4 linked regions of the Arabidopsis thaliana genome follow. The protein of the gene in region 2 interacts with the protein of the main gene of each other region in a pairwise test. Each region holds a gene or a part of one and is shown on either strand. Other genes may lie near its edges.

Region 1 (5,403 bases), 2.3 Mb from region 2:
CATTTCCTTTTTTTGTGCTTATAAATACATATTTATTTATTTTATTTATATAATAATTTGAAAACTTAGAAATTACACTAATTTATTAATTCTTTACTTACAAACAATTGGTTTTAGTTTTTAAAATTATCCAAGGCTGATTTCACCTAATTAAAATAACCATGACTAGATTTTAACCCGCGGACAACTTATTTTTTAAATTAGTATATATAAAAGTTTGCAAATTAAATCTATTTATTTTTATTTTATAGTTTACAATTGTTATTAAATAACGTCTTACCAAACCCGTCTCGCCAAATCCGCCCCGTAAAAAAAAACCGCGGTACACCGCTAATTTAAATATATAATTAAAAGAAATATTTTACGGGATTGCAATTGTATTTTGGTTTGTCAAACAAATATTTGTTTAAAATAGTTGCCAAAATCTAGTTCAAATTTTGGAGAAAAAAGATTTATTGGATAGATAAAGAATATATTTAGGTGGGTTTTGCTCATTTTAAGGGATTGCAATTATATTTTTGTTTGTCAAACATTTTTTGTTTTAAATAGTTGCTGAATATATTTGGAATATTTTTAGTTTATTAATCAATTTATTGCTGGAAAAAAATCAATAATTAATACTCAATGGCAGCCTAGTAAATAAGTCCCAACTCTAAGATTTATTTCACAAAATGGCTGCAAAAATGTATATATAGATGATTCATTATTTCATTTTATGCGGTAGGAGTAAAAACAACATTAACTAGCAAAAACTATAATACACACACAACAGTAACTACTCATCGAGTATGGCATTCATGGATACGAATCAAATCTCAAATCGTATAAGCCTGGCCATTATTTTATTTTACAATATTTGATAATGTGCTACCTAAATATCAAAATTTTAGAATATTCTGAAATAAAATGTCGAATTTTTGTGATAGCCTTAAATTACTACATGCTCACGTATGTAAATTTTCTATTCTTTCATAGTTAATTTTCTATTAAAATGTACAATTTCCAGTTTGATGGTATGAAGATCAACAAAGTACCATAAAAATGTATAATTTCTATTTCTTCCTAATTAATATTCTTTAAAGTGTAATTTTCCAGTTCATCCTTGTTAATTTTCTTAAATAATAAAATGTAAAACTTACAAATTTCACGGACTTTATTAACAGAAATGTAAATAATTGTAAATAAATGTAAACATACTGTGTCACAAGAAGACATGACAAAAAATAAAAACAGTAGAAATAAACTTTTTTCTGGGTGCGTGTGGTAAAACAAACATGGGGACTGATCCAATGAAGTTTATCGCAATTTCTGGAATTTCAGTCGGTGTATTAATCATCATCGCACTGATAGTGGCTTATGCCTGCTATCGTGCCCGAAAGGAAGGACCAGTCAGAGGCGACGGACGACTCACACCTATTGTAATGATGATATGATATATCACCTATTTTCGATCTTTTTCTAATAATTTATTTTATGATGCAACTTTTTAGATTACTATATACTATAGAAGAGCATATTGTAATTCTATTTTACCTATATAATAATAAATAATATTTCGGCGATTTTGTCATATGCTGGAGTGTTACATTAGATGATGACTAGTAGGGTTTTTTTTTTTATGTGAAAACAACAATCGTTGTGTCATATAACGCGAAGTGACAAACAAACAATTCGAAATATTAGCAATGTTACAAAATTCGAAATATACGCAATGTTATGGTGGTGTTGACCGAAGGGTAGTTTCGTAACTTTACATCATCGCGTGGTCGTATACGCGCCGATGAGATCACAGACGGCATTAATGGGCTCCGGAAGAAGAAACAAATGATTAATTTAAGGAATAAATTACCACTAAATTCGTTTGATTATTTCCGGAAAACAATTAACTAATAAAACTATAACTAACCTTTGTTTAATTTTTTGATTTCGCGTCTTCACTGTTGTGGATTTCTTCTGAATCTTCTGAGCTCGCTTCACCTACAAGAAGACAACAAGGATCATTTTCTCTAGGTTCGTAGATTCTCTTTCTTCTTCTTCTTCGTTTGGATCTGCTTAGTGAAGAAGATAATCTTCTGAAAAATTGTTTGTTTTTTTTCTGAAAATCTGAATACGTAATGATTTGAGCTGAATCTGAGTTAGATTCACATTTATATTCTGGATTTGTGCTATTTGATGATTTATTAGATCGATCATCTTGTTTTCTTCTTTCGCCTTTAAGTATGTTTGCTCATAGTGTTGCTCTTCCAGATTCCAGATCCTGAAGAAGGTGAAATCTTATCTGTGATCCAGTGGAAGATTGAATCAAGTAACAGATTCACTTAGTTCACTTGCGTATTGCATGCCCCTGAAGATAACATTTTGAATAATGTTGATATTGAATTATCACCTATAAGCTCTGGTTCTTGTTGCTTGTATTGGTTCTGGGTATCTACTAGTGAAGAAACCATGGCTTTTGGTTCTCCTAGGAATAATTCTATATTAGCTGCGGCTGGATTTCCTCGGAAAGTGTCTACAGTTGCAATTGCTATTGGTGGTTTGGCATCATTCTTTGTTTTCGGATTGTTGCTTCGTCTTTCGTATCCGAATAGTTCTTCAGTTGGTGGCATATTTTATGGGATAGGGAATCCTGAACAAGTTCATGTCCCTTTATCTTTGAGCAACCATACTGTCAATATCCTTCAGAAGAGTAGTGACATCAATGCGTTTGATAAAAATCTGACTTCTGATTCTAGCTCTGGCTTACCTGTTGTTGTTAGCAAAAGTATACCACCTCCAGATTTCAGTAGTGATAGGAAGTTGGAGACACCTTTGACACAAGAAAAAGAGGATTTGGTTTCTTCGGATATAACTGAAAAGACTGATGTTCAATCAGGTGAACGTGAAACCAATGTTTCCAAGGCTGAAGACACTCCAAGTGCATCATCTCCTCCAGATGATGTCTCTGAAACTGCTTCAGCAGAACCAGGTACTGTTGTTATCTTTTAAACGCTTATTTCCGTAGCTTTTGTCGTATTTGGAACATTTTGAGTTATGGTAGCTTAAATTTCAATAAACAAAGACTAAGCTAGTGTGGGAATGTTATAGAACATTTAGTTTTGCATTTCTATGGAAAGGCGTAAGTTTCTGAGAAGTTTTAAAGAAATTCAGCGGCTAAACTCTTAGCTATAGACCTACTGTAATTATTCTAGCCGAGGACTGAATATAGCAGATTAGAGTAAAAACTTGGTTAGGGAGCAGATAGTGAGTGCTGGGCTTGTAAGGTGGTCTCAGCATTTTGTTTTAGGGGTTAGAGTTTCTAGGCTTTGTGGGCATTTGGTTGAGAGTTCTACCTGTTTTGGTGAATTGGAATAAGAAGAGCAGTTTCATAGATCTGTTCTTGTCAGTTTCCCTTGCTTCTCATGATTCTAGCTGTTCGATGTTTTATATTTCTGTTATGAGTTTGTCGCTTACTCAAATCTTTGATTGCTTGTAGAGTGTGATTTGTATCAAGGTAGTTGGTTTTATGATCCTGGGGGACCTCTCTACACGAACAACTCTTGCCCTGTCCTGACGCAGATGCAGAATTGCCAGGGAAATGGAAGACCTGACAAGGGATATGAGAACTGGAGATGGAAACCGTCTCAGTGTGAGCTTCCTCGGTTTGATGCCAGAAAATTTCTTGAACTTATGAAAGGCAAGACACTGGCCTTTATAGGAGATTCAGTAGCTCGTAATCAGATGGAGTCCATGTTGTGCCTTCTTTGGCAGGCAAGTAATTCAATTTAATGGTGAAAACCGGTATAAGGGATCTATTGTGTTGCTTTATTCAGCTTCAGGAGATCGTATGTATTATATTAAAGTAGGTTTCTGTTTTCAGGTTGAAACACCAGTCAATCGTGGGAGCCGAAAGATGCAGAGATGGTATTTTAAGCAATCATCAGTAATGATTGCCCGTATTTGGTCATCTTGGCTTGTTCATCAGTTCAACGAAAAATTCGATTATGCTCCTGAAGGTGTCACAAAACTAAAGCTGGATCTTCCTGATGAGCGCATAATGGAAGCTATCCCGAAATTCGACGTGGTTGTCCTCTCATCAGGGCACTGGTTTGCAAAGCAGTCTGTCTACATATTGAAAGAAGAGATCGTGGGAGGCCAATTATGGTGGCCAGACAAATCAAAACCCATGAAAGTCAATAACGTGGATGCATTTGGAATATCAGTTGAAACAATCCTTAAGTCCATGGCTACACACCCGAACTACAGCGGTTTGACCATTGTGAGAACATTCTCACCTGATCATTACGAAGGTGGTGCTTGGAACACAGGTGGATCATGCACGGGGAAAGAAGAACCCATCCTTCCAGGGAAGCTAGTGAAAAACGGATTCACAGAGATAATGCATGAGAAGCAAGCGACAGGATATAACCAAGCCGTCGATAAAGTCGCGGAGAATTTGAAGCTAAAACTAAAGCTGATGGATATCACAGAGGCATTTGGATATCGCCATGATGGTCATCCTGGTCCATTCAGAAGTCCTGACCCTAACAAGATCACTAAACGGGGACCAGACGGACGGCCTCCACCTCAGGACTGCTTGCACTGGTGCATGCCAGGACCAGTCGATACATGGAACGAAATGGTCTTGGAGCTCATAAGGAGAGACAGGAAAAGCTCATCAACTTGACTTGGTTTGAAACTCAAAGGATGAGAGAGCATATTACACGACTTATACTATTAATCTGATTCTTGGTTACTGATAAACTCAAAGATAAACTCACTTGTAGATTTGTGCTAGGCACGGTGAGTTAGGATTAGAATTTGTTCCACTATACTTGTTGGTTCGTTTGTCCTGAGATTGAAATTTAAGATTTGGGAGTTATGAGTTCAAGTTTATTCATACTAGTCGAAATTTCATAAATTATATAAACTGGGGGGGGCGCATTTGCAAAATAGCTGAGTAATAATCGCCTATCTCACTGACTCACCCAAAGCCCGACCAAAAGCTTTTGATTCCTCAAGAGTGAAAATGGCGTCGTACACAGTCTCCTTTATCCCTTTGACGCTCTCTAATCCTCGGATCTTTGTTTCGAGACAGAATGGATCTCCCTCGTCTTCTTCTCGGATTCCTCTAACGTCTTCTCTGTTAGGTAAGAAGCTTCTGGCGACACAACCGTCGCATCGCTGCTTCGTCCCCAAGCTCCGGTGCTTGACCTCGGCCAGCACGGTCTTAAACGTCCCTATTGCGTTAGTTTTTTTATCTGACAGCTCTTTTACATCTTTATCATTTCTGGGTTTTTCCTTTCACCACGGATATTGAAGCTTAGGGTGTTAAGGTTGAATTTTTCAGGCAACCGGAGAATGGTTCTTCGGATAAGATCCCAAAGTGAGTCTCACTCCAAATTACGTATAGAATTTGTAATTGTA
Region 2 (5,385 bases):
GCTCTTTCTTTAAGATCTTACATAGCTCGTCTTGTTTAACATTCAAACTAAGACAAGCAGTTCTAGGTGCTGGCAGAGAGCATGAACCAATAAGCTCCATATGACTCAGCAAAATCTTCGTGATAAACTGCGTTTCCATTCTAATAGCAATCAAGAAATCCAACGTCTTCTGAATATTTTTCACGCATTTGTCTGACAACATCTCTGGATTGTCTATAAATAGCCTATAAATCTCATTCACTTGAAGCCCCGCTTTAAACAACCTACCAAACAGAACATAGAATTTCTTTCCGGAGCCTTCGATTACCAAAGCTGGATACGTTTTCAAAAGACTACTCAACTTCTCCTCTTTACATCCCACTTTATCAAGAAACTCTATTGTCTCCAGAATTCTGCGCCAGCTATATGTTTTCCGGTCAGACAAGTACCGCCCAAGCCAATCACATCCTACTTGTAACCCTTTCAACTTATCAACTACAGAAGAAAACTCAGCATCAATCCCACCAACCAGTAGCAAAGGGCAACTAGTAACTAACTTAATAACTGTAGCCTTACTAAGACCCAAATTCTCATAACCCCTTAGCTTCATCGCCAACATCCCAGATTCATATCTAAAAATCTCTCTCGCTTCTTTATACATACGGCCAATCTTACCACGCGGGATCCCATAGTTGCAAAGAGCATGAAAGTTCTCAAACATGATACCATCATCACTCAAAAACATTAGCTTCCGTGGAAGAAACGTTTCAAACTCATAAGGACACAAACCCAAACTCTCGAAAAACGGTTCAAACTCGTTTATCGGATTGTACCTAAGGAACTTAGTCAATCCCTTGGATACATCTTTCTGATTATCATCAATCTTAGACAACAAAGTCGACATAAAACAAGGAGAATTCTTACTTATATGCTCTGCATCAGTAAAAGTAAAGCTTCTAGTATAATGCAAGTAATCAAAAAGAGCTTCTTGAGCTTGATTCCTACTAGCCCTTGATACCGGATTAACGAAAAACCTAGTTGGTAAGTGAGACGAGTGTTGTTGTAACTTAGATTTATCCTGACGAACACAGCTTTCAATCTGAAAACTCCGAAATGGAACTGAAACACGAGAAAGGTCGAACCTTTGAACTGGGTTTTGACGAGGAATAGATGAGAAAGTTATACAGTAGTTGAGATTTGAAATCATATTCAACAGTTTATGAACTCTTCTCTGATTTCTGGATAATAACATCGCAACCTAACAACAAAGAGAAACAGGTGAAAGTCACAATCAAATAGAGAGCTATGAAGAATTCTCAATGCTTACTCTTTCAAGTAAGAAATTTACCTGAAATTAGGGCTTATTAAGCATTTGAATCAACCATTTTCCCAAGATTCTTAGGGTTCATAGCCAAATCTCAGTTACTTTGCTTAAACCTTGTTCTGGCTTCAAATTAAGGTGGAAATTTCAGAGAAGCCCCTAAACGTTTATAATATATCCGAAACGACCATAATCTTATTTTTCTATACTTCAATATGTGCCTAAGAGTTTCCGAAATATCATAAAGGTACCAATTAGTGCATCATCAACACTTGGCCTTAAAAGACTTGACGTGAGATATTATTATTCCTCTTTTGATACCGAATTAATAGACTTGTCAAGTTTAGACTTGTCAAAAGTGATAAACATATCACACGAAATCGTGTTATTATCACGAGCGTTACAAATTCTTCAAGTATATCACTATAAAACGACTTCAAAACCCAACCAAGTGGTGATTTCTTTGAGCTGACTATATGTATGCAAGATAAAGGCAGCAAGAAACGGTGAGTTTTCTTCACGAGCATAAATGGTTTGTTCGTCTTTCTGATTTTTGATTTTATAGATATGTAACTTTTTTATTAGGTCAATTTCAAGTGGTCCATGGTAGATTCAATTCATGTTAGGTCATCATCTTCAAGCTAAAACGCCTACCAAACATATAATAACAAGTATTCTTTTAATCACTAGTTTTAGTTTCAAAATATTTCTGACTATCTTAAGTGCATTTAGATTTTAGTTCAACATGATGGAAAAAGATAACTTGACTCTTGTTTAACTTGCATATGTTTTGTTTGACTATTTGTTATGTTTGAGAGGAATGATTTTTCTTTGTAAAACAGCTTTATATAAAACTTGTGGCTTACTCGGATGAATTTTATATTTGTTTTGATTATTTTTCAAATGTTGTTTTTTTCAAAACCTTTTGACAGTAAATTACAATATAAATTATTTTCAAAGATCTTAATATGTCTTATTTAAGTGAATTTTTAATTATAATTATAAGTAAATTATTAAATATAGATTATAACAATGAAGTTAAATCTTATTCACTATATCTTTAAATATTTTTTTCTCTTATTTTTTTAATATTTTATTCACTATTTGTAACAAAATTATAAAAGCCAAAATTACCAAATTTCTGCAAGAAAAAACAAAAAACAAATCCTTGGCTCCTCCTAAAATCCACCTACCTTACCCTTTTATATATAAGATACAACCAAAAACAAGATGATTTGGTGCTTTCAATATAAAAGATATAATATTTCATAATTAACATATTCTCCCTTAGGTTTTCCTGCACACTCGATTTAAATCGTCTAACAAGGTCAGAATCCATAATTTATACAACCATTTTCTGCTTCCTTTGTTTCCTCCCTAATTACATGTTATTAACTATTAAGCATATCCTTAAAACAAAACCCAAACTGAATTATCTTTGTCAATAGTTGTCTTCTCTCTCGATTATTCTTAAGATAACTACTTTGGTAGTTTTGTTTTTTTAATTACTACTGCACCCTCTTGCGCTTCAAGTTACTTGGTAAAAAACTCTCTTAACTTTGGATAATTTCTCGAAGTCTCTGAAGAAAGAACCCTTTTTTTCTTCTCTCATAATCGTCTCTGTAACGTCCTTCTCCTTCTTCATCTTCTTTGCGTTTCTTCTGCAGCCTTTTGCGGTTCACGTGTTGATTGCTTCTGTCTCTACTTTTTGTCCGTTTTAAAGTTTAAACTTATTGTTACAAAATTGGATTTTCTCTGATCAAACGATAAAAACAGAGTCTTTTAGTATCTTCTTCTTGGGTATAACGAAGATTTTTGTGGTTTCTTCTGATGTAATTCACAAAACCATTTGTATAATCCTTGAAAAGACTTTTTGTTCAGAAATGAAGTTTCTTACTTTGCTCTTTCTTTTCTATATTTCAGTAATGATGATGATAAAGCTTGAGAGAAGTGATTAGTCTGTAGAAGAAGAAGAGTTAAAACCATTCACCAAAGAAGAAATTGAGAACTAGAGACAGTCATGGAGATCAAATCTTACCAAAATCAAGCAGAGTATTTTGTTGAACACTATTTATTAGCAGATCCATTTCTTCCATATACTTCTGTTCTTGTTGGAATCTGTCTTTGCAAATTGGTAAGTTTTGCTTCTCTTCACTTACAATTGCAGAAACTTCACTTTTTTCTGCATTCTGTTTTTAAACAGTGTAGCTTATGTTCTTAGGTATATGATCTTACGGAGTTATTCAGCTCAATTCATGTCAAATCATACTCAGCTCTCACAAAAATAAAGAGAATTGAATGGAACAACAGGTATGTATAGGTTCCTTGTTTCAGCCTTTATATGTTATGCTCTAGTCTCTTATCACTTTGGCTTGACAGGGGAATTTCTACAGTCCATGCGATCTTTATCTCATTCATGGCATTATACTTTGCGTTCTTCTCTGATTTGTTTTCTGACCAAAGAAGCCTTGAAACCCTTACGGTGTTTCGTAACTCGCCTCTGTCTACCTTTGGTTTAGGAGTAAGTTTTGATCTTTCTTCATTTTATCTCACAAGTCCTACTCATGAGCATTGATCAACTTATATGGTACTTTGTTGTGATGTGTTTTTTGCATAGGTATCAGTTGGTTACTTTCTTGCGGATCTTGGAATGATCTTTTGGTTATACCCTTCTTTAGGAGGATCAGAATATGTAAGTTAGACACATGAAAGCTTATGTGGTCTTCAATTACTTGACAATCTTGTGTTTTTTGTTTCAGATATTACATCACTGCTTATCTGGAACAGCAGTAGCGTATTCTTTGTTCTCTGGAGAGGCTCAGCTTTACACATACATGGTTTTAATCTCTGAAGTGACTACACCAGAGATCAATCTTAGATGGTACCTTGACATTGCTGGTTTGAAACGATCTAAAGCTTATCTTGTTAATGGAGTTGCTATATTCTTTGCTTGGTTGGTGAGTTTCTTAAAACCTTTGTTTTTCGTTGTAAATGTCTGAAAACTTGATCTCCTTTTTTATAGCAATGATGTTTTGTTTGCAGACAGCAAGAATTCTTCTGTTCATCTACATGTTTTACCATGTCTACACACATTATGATCAGGTAATCAAGATTTCGGTTTGATTATCTCTAAACCAAACGGTCTAGCCTTTAGGAAAAATAGGAATTACTCTGTTTTTTTTTTTTTTTTGCTGTTGTATTGGTTAGGTTTAGAGATAATGAATTGATGATCAATGGATTTTTCGGCAGGTGATAGAGATGCATACATTCGGTTATCTACTGGTATTTGTTGTACCGATTTCATTGAGTGTCATGAACTTGATCTGGTTTGGTAAGATAGTGAAGGGATTGAAGAAAACTCTTGAGAAAAGACAGTGAAGAAAGAGTTGTGTTTTTTTTTTTATGTAAATATAAAACTCTTATGAAGAATCTTACAAGTTTATAAGCAACAAAGATATGGTTTGTTTCTAACTTTTAGCTTATACACTAATTATGTTCAAAATCTCATTCCCATTATTCCCACAACAGTCCCTATGCATGCTGAATACTTAAATCCATGTACGAAATCAATAGAGGACTTAACCCAAAAAGACTTGGGCCTAAATCTACATTGGGCCAACGATTATATTCGTAGTTTTTTCGTGTCATATTAACTTGCCGTGTAATATTTGTTTACTTGTATTTTTTGTTAGTTCTAGAAAGAAAGCAACATTAATTGAGGAGGAGGAGATTGGTTGTTGTTGACGACGCGTTTCCGCTCACTAATTTTTTTTAACCTTTTTGTGTCTCCGTCGTCTTTTGATCTTCAATCTCAGTTTTGAGCTGAAGATTATCGTATCGACCTGCGATTCTCTTCAGATCGATAATCCATGGCTGCAGCTGGAAACAAGAGCATTAACGCCAAATTGGTCAGTCTTATTAGCTCGATTCTTTTGAGTTCCCTTGTGGTTGGTTTGTCTCTCTCCGATGATCGTAAAATTGATTGAATTTGCAGACCCGTTTTGTTAGATTTTCAGTTTTCTGGATTTGATTCTGTTTCTAATTTGGAGAATTTTGATACGTGATGTTGAATTGGAGAGCTTTGA
Region 3 (4,509 bases), 7.0 Mb from region 2:
GGTTGGAATCAAAGGAAGCATCGGATTTGAGGGGGTTTACGAACATTCTCTTGGCTATTTCGAGTTGATTTCTCTTCCAAGTTGTGTCGTCTCCATTTTTGTTGTTACAGTGGCCGAGCTTTTTGTTTTCACAGCGATGGGTTTACATTGGTTTTGAAATTCAAATTGATCTCGGTTCGGTTTAATTTGGTTTAGAGAAGAAAACCAAAAAAAATACGACACGCGATGGGTTTTTGAGAATGAGGTGCGTGGATCCAAAAATGCATGATTTTTGTGGATTAACCCCTTTAGAAATCGTAGACACGCGCTCAACGCGACATGAGTGAGAGTGGCTGTGAAATAGCACGATTGGTAAAAGTGGGGTATGAAGTGGAGCTCTCTCATTGGCTAAAAATATAAAAATAGTAGGGGAGCTCCTCCTCTCATATATTGAAAACAATAACAAACACTTATAAATGTTCTGCATTTTCAGAGTAAATTTTATTGATTTCTGAATTTTTATTGATGTGCATAGATTTTGTTTCATATTTTGTGTACTTGTAGTTTATCAACACTTATGGATCATTCGAAATGTATACCAATCAGGGGAAACCTTCAAGAAGAAGATCAGAATCAAAGTATCCTCTGCCATGGAACAATTAGGCTTGTGTCAGGTTCACAAGGAGGCTATATGAGGTTGACACTGGATTATGATACTTTGAATGCTGCAATCAAGACTGGAATCATCTAAAAATATGAATCCTTCAGCTTCTTTAACCAGTAATACATATGTGGATTAACAATATAAATCCTTTGTTGAATAAAGGAAACAATTAAACGTTTGATTACATATAAGACTTTACATAATCCAACTTTTATATGAAGCTACTACAAACAAGATTCAAAGATTCCATCTAATCTTCAATCTTCATCTTCAACATCCTTCAATATCTCTCCACTTAAGATACACTAGCCCAGCTCTATAGTGCGTGAACGCACCAGCAACAACCAGAACATGAAACAACTGATGGCTATGTCCTGCTATATCGAATTTACCCGGCATCCATCTCTCTGGGATCCTAGTTGCATAAACCAGAGCTCCTAACCCATAAAGCAAACCCATCAAAATCTCATAACCTGTCGTGTGAAGGGCTTCAGGTTGGTCCCAAAAGATTATCAGCTTGTGAAGAATCGGAGCTAAGCCAGAGAATCCCATTCCAAAGAACAGAGACGCCCTCACCACCCGAAACTCCGGGCTTTGGAAAACCGGGAGGAGAGAAACAAGCACAGTGGCGATTCCTAAGATGGTTATGAATCCTAAGTAGAGGTTGCAGAAGAAAGGATCACACATGAAGGAGTAATAAACCGGAGGGTAGAAGGAAGTCGCTATTAGAGCTGCGATGCCGGCGTAATCAAGCCTAAGCATTATGTAGGAGACTCGCTCGGAGTGACATGAGAGGAGGTGGCACGTGCTGCTTGCTAATAGACAGAACATAGCACCACCTAGAAATGCATAAAACGGCCATCGAGTAATTGGCCTGAAGATCAAAGGAGCTATCAAGTTTGCAAGATCTTCCCTCACAGAATGCTGCAATGCAATTACAAAGATATGAACTTGGCCACATTTTGAAACAGTAATCTGCAGGAATAGAGAGAAAGATTGAGTCTTTTCTTACCAGAACACACATGTCAGTGTAGTTGCCATGAGAAAATCTTTCAGGCAAACAGTTATAAAGAAGGTCCATCACATGCCAACTAGATGGACTAGAAGGAAGGCGAGCCATGAGCTCAGAATGAAGTTTGTGGAGATCTGTTTTCCTCAACAAATCGGGTAAACGGTGTTGAAGCGAATGAAGATCCACGACACTCGGTACTTTCGTTGCAGTGTATATAGTGAGCGCCAAAAACAGGAAAAACCCAATCAAGTGCCTGCAAATCCCAAAGAACACACACACACAAACACACTCAAGGCTCTTGAACTTTAAACAAGGATACATCAAGAAACATGATTCAACACTTACGTCCAAACATTCAAAGTCTCATTATGAATGGTAAAGATGCTGAGAAGAATCTGTTTGATCGGCCATTCGGATCGGTAATGACCAATGATGTACTCATTGTCTCTTAAATAAGCAGGCAATGAATGAAACTCCACCAATTGATACTTGACTTTCTGCCATAACCTCTTCCCTTTCACATTATGTTTCTTGTCCATTGTTTCAGATGAAGCTTGTGGCTTTAAATGTTCCTTGATCTCTGCCTCATCACCCATTTTCTCTCTACTCATAAACAAACCAAACCCATAATATCAATCATACAGATCTAAATCTAGCTCAATCTGAATCATTCCAAGAAGTTAGGAATCAAAGTTTCAATTTTGAACGTTTATGCTAAATCTTGTTTTGTTCTGGATAATGAAAGTATCGATTTTTATATGCAGATTCAGCTCATTCATTACCTAAAGCTTCAATCCATAAATGGATTTGAGAAAATTACCTGAATTTCGAAAGACAAACCCTGTAAGATTTAAGAAATTGAGAGATAAGTAATTAAGAGAATTATGAGAATTTTTCTTCGATTTCGTGAAATTAGGAGAGAAAAGGTGAGATTTTGTTACCTGGATCTTCAATGCCGACGAGACAAAATCTTCTAAGAAAGATCTCTCTCTTTCTTAAAAGTCAATCAAAATAGATCTCAAGGTTTCGTTTTTGTCGAAAACAGAGAGTTCTTGTTTTGGTATGAAATCGAAGAAAGAAGAAAAAATAGAAGACGACGATGGAAGTGGAAGCTCTGAAGCCACAAAGCTTTATGAATTTTATATATTTTTATATATTTCAAATTGGGACCACTAGTTTTGTTTTGTTTATTAGTAGGACCCTTTTATTTTTCTTTATTTTCGTTTGGGCTAAGAATTTAATAGCTAGAGTATTTATTGTACGAGGATGGAAATACATCAAACAGAGAAAATGTTTTGTCGAAAATATTAACAAATATTTCTCCTATGAAATCAAGTCTTTCTCAAAAAAAAAAAAACTTATTTGATATGGGGAATTTAAATTAAGGGAAAATTAATTTAACATACCATATGAGAGCAAAAAATAAAAAATAAAATAATTGTGCTCCATGGATTCTTCTTATTAATGATTAAAATTTTCAATTAGGTGAAAAGGAAAAATTTATGATTGTGGCACATTTATTGCATTTAATCATCTTTCAACTAAAAATGGAGATGTCTATTTATGGTTTTGTTTATTTGGTCGGATTTCTTTTTTTTTTTTGTATAGAAAATATTGACAACGAATTGAATTTCAGTTCTAGTTTATGTTTGGATTTAATTTTAAAGCAAAAACTATCTATCGTTAAGAATTTTCCGAAATAAAGATTCACATTTCAGAAGATTTTTTTGTTTTGTTTCGAGTCGGTTTTGGTTATTTTCTTACATAAAATACACAGAATAATTCGAACCATAATATTGAATTGTTATTTTGGTTCACGTACGTTTACCGTTGGAGACTTTATAGCTCTTCGTTTATGCTTGTACGGATCAATAATCATGCATACTTAAGTATTTGGAAAGAAGAAGAAAAATAAAAGATTTTATCACAACATAAATAGTAACGTGAATTGGCATAAATGAATCGCAACAAACAGGTCGCAATCACAATGATAAAAATATCTACTGGCACTACTTCATAAGGAAGGATCTTGTAAGAATATTACTTTCGTTTTATTCGGATAAGCAGAAGATATTCGTTTTTTTTCTGGCTCGTTTTTTCACCTATTCAAGTTTTATGTCAATTTGGTTACGTACTCCAAATTGTGGCACTTGTAATTTGACACTCTTTATCAAAGTTATCACTTATCTTACTTGCCAACGAAACTAGTATCAGTATTCAGAGCCATTAATACAAATCAATCAAATCTTAGAGGAAGAACTAAAATGATGTACATAAATTGATGTTTTAGTTTTGCCAATTAGCATAAATAAATACTTTTAAGAATCTTTTCACATTTTTTCTCTAATAAAAGTGAAACATACACATTAAATCTTTTCACATTTTTTCTCTAATAAAAGTGAAACATACACATTAGAATCAGTTGTTCACCATATATAAAAAGGCTCGCCAAATTAAGATCTGGACATACTTAAAATGGGATTGGGCTGGTAAATATTCTAAAAACATTCCTTAAAAAGCCCACTCTGATAAGTCCGCGACTTCGAAACTCCGATGCAGACCGAAATTGGTTCTATAGTTTGGGAGAGAATGACCAGACCGGTTCAATCAATTTTCCTTCGATGGACCCAACCGAATAACTTCCATGTGGGGACACAACTTAAGCTTGTAACGACCAGACATTCAAAGAGTTCCGTCAAATAGTAATAGAGAAAGACTAAAGAAGAAAATATGGAAAAATAAACAATAAATAATAATAGAAAAAGACTATTGAAGAAAATATGGAAAAATAAACAATAAATAATAATAGAAAAAGACTATTGAAGAAAATATGGAAAAATAAACAATAAATAAA
Region 4 (4,195 bases), 4.2 Mb from region 2:
GTAAGATTTTAGGATATCTTCATTTTGAAACCATGGTTACATGACAAGTTTTGATAATCTTTTACCTTTCACGTTCTTTTCAGAGCAACGGTATCGGTGATCACTTATAACGGATATTTCCAGGAGTATACGCTAAGTATCAATAACAAGAATGAGTCTCTATGGACACTGGAACGTGAATTCAATCTCTTCTCCATAACCACCGGGTGATGTATACAACCAAATATCAAATATATGAAAGTACTGGGCAACTTTTTTGTATGTAACAATTTTTGTACCTTGGGTTCATTAAGAATATGTTTATAGTCTCATGTTCTTTGGTTATTCGCAAATATAATTAGCTCTTCCGTGCTATTACTGTATCTTAATCTTGATTTGTGTTGAAGAAATGAAATACAAAATGGTTTCCCAACTCTTTCCATCATATCCCACTTACTCCATAGTTACAGTCAAGGCTCTTTAGCTATGAATCAGAATTTTCAAGTCAGGATCATTTGTCGGTCTAATGGCTCACAAGTCATAACATCATCATAATCCAAAGAGCAAAAGTCTTTTATCTTATGAGAATTCACTGTATCCTACTCAAGACTATTAGTCTACTTCATCTTAACACATCCATTAAGTCAAAATAGTGTAAAGACAGGTACATTACAAAGTCAAGAGTATTTACCCATTGATTTGCATTTTGTATGTTTGAAGAAAGATTTGCTAATTGTGTTTGCTAAAGATGAATGTTTAAGACATTCATCGAGATCTTGTCTTAACGACTTGTCCTCTAGAAGCTTTTCTCTCCATCTTCTCCCTCTTTTTGCGAGTCTTCTCATCCTCAACACCTCCCTAAGTTCAGTCATATAGACAAAACACAGTCCATTTTAAATGATCATGTTTTATTTCCCCCTTGTTCAAAGCACTTTGAGAGTATTCAAGACAAAGTGATTACCTCTGAACCATGTGACAATAGTCCCTTAATAAGACCAGAAGCTTTGTATGCTCCAAATGCAGGGATCTAAAATAAAAACAAGCAAAAGTAAATGGTTGCATCATTCCTACAGAGCAAATCTGTTGTTTGCCTTAAAATATGGCAATAAAGAAAATTGAGATGGGTATCATACCACTAAATACGCGTACCAAAACTTTCCAGAGATGATAGATCCGACCTGCACAAAGCAGGTGATGTAGAGTACATCATGCAAATATCTGCAAGGAAGAATAGAGCATCAGGCTTATACTATAGAATCTACCATAAATCCAATCCACCATAAAGATGACGATTATGTAGCAACTGATAAACGATAAAACTCGGAGAAAGCCACAACTAGTAAAACATCACTCATTTCAAACAACTGATAATGAAACAGTCCTCCTACTATTGCTTTTGGTTATGGAAACAGAATCCAACTATACAGAAACACTTGAGACAAAAGCAGGCACTTTCTAGTTGATCAATTTAAAAGACAAATCTTTCCGAACGTACCCACACATTCCAGGAGTGCTCATGTCAAATCCACCATCAAGAAGTTCACCAGCATCACTAACACTAGGCTTTGCCATTTGATGAAGAAGCTTATATGGAATCCCGTAACCTAACGATGTTAACACAAGACCAATCCAATTTTTCCAGGTATGACTTGAATGCGAAATTATAACCCTCACTAGGACATACAAAATCTGCAAACACATATTGCCAAAAACATCAATCCTCGAATTCATCGAAACAAAATCAGCTAAACATTGAAACTTTCGAGACCTAAAGATCAAATTCAACGGATTTTTAGTTCCATATTGATACAAGTAACGTATCTAAACAAATCTAAGCTCAACGGATTAATGTATTGAGAATTTAAGAAATGAGGAACGAGGAAGTTACGTTGCAAAGGATCATAATGAGACGGAGCTTAGCCATGTGTCGAGCGTTCTCATCTTTCCTCTTCTTTGCTCCTTGATTCGCCATGAGTTAAAAGAGAATGATCAAAGAGACGAGGAAGATAGTTTTTTCAGTTTCTGTAATTCTTCTTTTGCTTTGGATCTTCACAAATGGTGTGAGAGAAAACTTTTAGGTGTCTAAGCTTGTTTAATCCAATTATATATTGACACCTGTACCTTTTTGTCGTCCTCTTTTCTCAAATACTTTTTTCACGCAGGAAATGTTTTGTTTGGCTGCGTGTCGTAATTACGCTTTTCCTTGGGTTTAGGACAAAGATTCTTAATTTGGGCTTTCGTCTATCCTTATCAGTTGTTGTTGGAAAACTGAAACAGTTCTATCTAAATGGGCCAGAACAACCTAAAAGGCCCATAAAATCTGACATCTTAAGGCCTATCAACAGAAAACTGCATTATTTCAGTTTTCCAATAACAAGGTCTGTGTGAAAATCACCGGCGCTCGGAGAAGACATCAACATAAAACCTTTTACCGCTGTTCCAAAAACTAAAAAGTATACCATTTCTATGATCAATCGGTAAAACGATATTTATAACGGAACAAGAACAAAAGTAGTGTAAATTTTTTTCCCTGTTTTATGTTGTTCTATAGACAAAAAAAAATGAAGATATCATATCTTGTGGGCCTATATCCAATATTTGAGTGTAGCCCATATTTGGATCAAACATCACGTCTTACACAATGGTTCTCGGATATCCCAATCTGAGTATGGTTTTAGGTCAATTCAACATAGTATTATTTTGTCAACAAGCACCATTATAGCAAAAACAAAGATGTATCAAAGAAAAGTAGCGTTAGGGGTTGGTCAGAAAAAGACATGTTTGCAGTGTAAGAAATGACGTGGACACGTGGAATCATACGCAATGCAACATGTCATCATTAAGGTCCATTGTTCAACTTACCCATTGAGAACAAAACTAGAAAAATTATAGACCGTTGGATCATCTTTAAGGACCATGTCTGATTCACGTATCTCTCTCCCACTTGGAATATGCTTAGCCTATGTATGGGACACATTCGCTAGGTCCACCAGTATCCTGTACGCAAACGCAACATCGAGAAGCTTCCGTTTCCAATATTCTATACTATAATTACAAATGTTAAAAATTGTTTATAAAATTTGTAATTTGACTTGTAGACATCATTAGGGTAAAGATATATCAAGAAATTACTTTTTTCATAGGAATAAAAATAGTCAACTCTCTTAAATAAGGGACAAATACAATCCTCTAATGACCTGGAAAACAACTATGCAATCAACATTAACAAATGTAATTAGAAGTACAACACAATCAATTTTGGTTAAAAAATTGAAAGTATATAAAAATAAAAAAATAAAAAACGTGTCTTAGTTGATAAATAACTCATTAATCACGCCTCTATCTCTCTGTTTTAAGAGTTTAACAGTTAAAGATCTTCTTCTCTATCTTCCTTATTTGACTACATCTCCGTTTATTCTTGGGTCTCTCTCTATCTCTCTTATCCAGATTTATCATCGTCATTACATATAAACATCAAACTTAACTTTTCAATATTCTCATTCACTTTTTCCTCTTGTGCTCTAATTCTTATCCGGATCCGATTTCTCTCATACAAAGATTCTGTTTTTCTTCTTGGGTTATTGTTCTTGCTCTGTTTCCGTATCTCAAAGTTTCAGCTGCTGAATTGAATTTGCATTGATCGTAGATGAGACCAATCATTAGGTTATCATCTCTCAGTAGAATTAGATGGGCTCTAAGGAACAATCAAGAACGTTATTCTTCAACTTTCTACTCCAAAAGCCGCAAACTTTTGATCGGTGTCAATCAAAATCAAGCTCTGCTGAATACAAACACTGATAATTCAAGTTTGTATTCAAGGTCAAGTATCTTTAGAGGCTTATCAGCAGAAGCAGTAGAAGCAGCTGATCCTGCTACTACTAGGGTCACCGTCTCAGGTTTTGTTTCTCTTTGCAAAGAAATTCTATCAATCTCAGAGTTCGTGTTTATTGGTTTGCTGATATTTGTTGAATGATGACAGATGTGAATAGAACAGGTCCTCTTGTTGAGTATGAGAGAAGAATCAGTAATGGTGAACTCATGACTGGTGATATCTGCCAAGTATGATAAAAATAATAGCCACTCTTTTTTACTTCATTGAAGCTTTTGAGCTATAAGATTAAATGTGATTCGTGTTACTTGCGGCTTAAGGTTGTGTTTGAAATGTTGTAGATTAGTGCATTGAGAGAGCTTCAGAGACTATATGATGAGCTTGTGG

What was found.
Region 1: the proteins of AT4G19645 (region 2) and TBL18 interact in a protein complementation assay, tested with the Arabidopsis thaliana proteins (one large-scale study listed by BioGRID).
Region 3: the proteins of AT4G19645 (region 2) and HHP4 interact in a protein complementation assay, tested with the Arabidopsis thaliana proteins (one large-scale study listed by BioGRID).
Region 4: the proteins of AT4G19645 (region 2) and AT4G30500 interact in a protein complementation assay, tested with the Arabidopsis thaliana proteins (one large-scale study listed by BioGRID).

Annotation. Positions count from the first base shown.
Region 1 is NC_003075.7:12,967,742-12,973,144, forward strand, and holds TBL18 (TRICHOME BIREFRINGENCE-LIKE 18), read left to right. Parts: upstream 1-1,817; 5' UTR 1,818-2,010; exon of another isoform or gene 2,011-2,247; 5' UTR 2,248-2,445; coding exon 2,446-2,965; intron 2,966-3,472; coding exon 3,473-3,747; intron 3,748-3,856; coding exon 3,857-4,663; 3' UTR 4,664-4,903; downstream 4,904-5,403. Other genes in the region: AT4G25370 (Double Clp-N motif protein), read left to right, coding at 5,006-5,223, 5,327-5,362. UniProt on the Arabidopsis thaliana protein: May act as a bridging protein that binds pectin and other cell wall polysaccharides. Probably involved in maintaining esterification of pectins. May be involved in the specific O-acetylation of cell wall polymers.
Region 2 is NC_003075.7:10,689,234-10,694,618, reverse strand, and holds AT4G19645 (TRAM, LAG1 and CLN8 (TLC) lipid-sensing domain containing protein), read left to right. Parts: upstream 1-1,787; 5' UTR 1,788-1,806; intron 1,807-2,597; exon of another isoform or gene 2,598-2,627; intron 2,628-2,656; exon of another isoform or gene 2,657-2,858; coding exon of another isoform or gene 2,859-2,945; exon of another isoform or gene 2,946-3,132; intron 3,133-3,223; 5' UTR 3,224-3,320; coding exon 3,321-3,434; intron 3,435-3,521; coding exon 3,522-3,610; intron 3,611-3,679; coding exon 3,680-3,821; intron 3,822-3,917; coding exon 3,918-3,992; intron 3,993-4,059; coding exon 4,060-4,257; intron 4,258-4,342; coding exon 4,343-4,402; intron 4,403-4,549; coding exon 4,550-4,678; 3' UTR 4,679-4,861; downstream 4,862-5,385. Other genes in the region: AT4G19650 (Mitochondrial transcription termination factor family protein), read right to left, coding at 1-1,231; ARA7 (Ras-related small GTP-binding family protein), read left to right, coding at 5,170-5,208.
Region 3 is NC_003075.7:17,698,973-17,703,481, reverse strand, and holds HHP4 (heptahelical protein 4), read right to left. Parts: upstream 2,849-4,509; 5' UTR 2,597-2,848; intron 2,497-2,596; exon of another isoform or gene 2,476-2,496; 5' UTR 2,267-2,475; coding exon 2,001-2,266; intron 1,909-2,000; coding exon 1,656-1,908; intron 1,568-1,655; coding exon 914-1,567; 3' UTR 530-913; downstream 1-529. Other genes in the region: AT4G37682 (hypothetical protein (DUF1399)), read right to left, coding at 1-21. UniProt on the Arabidopsis thaliana protein: May play a role in abiotic stress response.
Region 4 is NC_003075.7:14,901,314-14,905,508, reverse strand, and holds AT4G30500 (transmembrane protein (DUF788)), read right to left. Parts: upstream 2,159-4,195; 5' UTR 1,952-2,158; coding exon 1,868-1,951; intron 1,669-1,867; coding exon 1,475-1,668; intron 1,198-1,474; coding exon 1,113-1,197; intron 1,007-1,112; coding exon 941-1,006; intron 838-940; coding exon 745-837; 3' UTR 501-744; downstream 1-500. Other genes in the region: ATG18B (autophagy 18 B-like protein), read left to right, coding at 84-210; AT4G30490 (AFG1-like ATPase family protein), read left to right, coding at 3,626-3,875, 3,959-4,038, 4,150-4,195.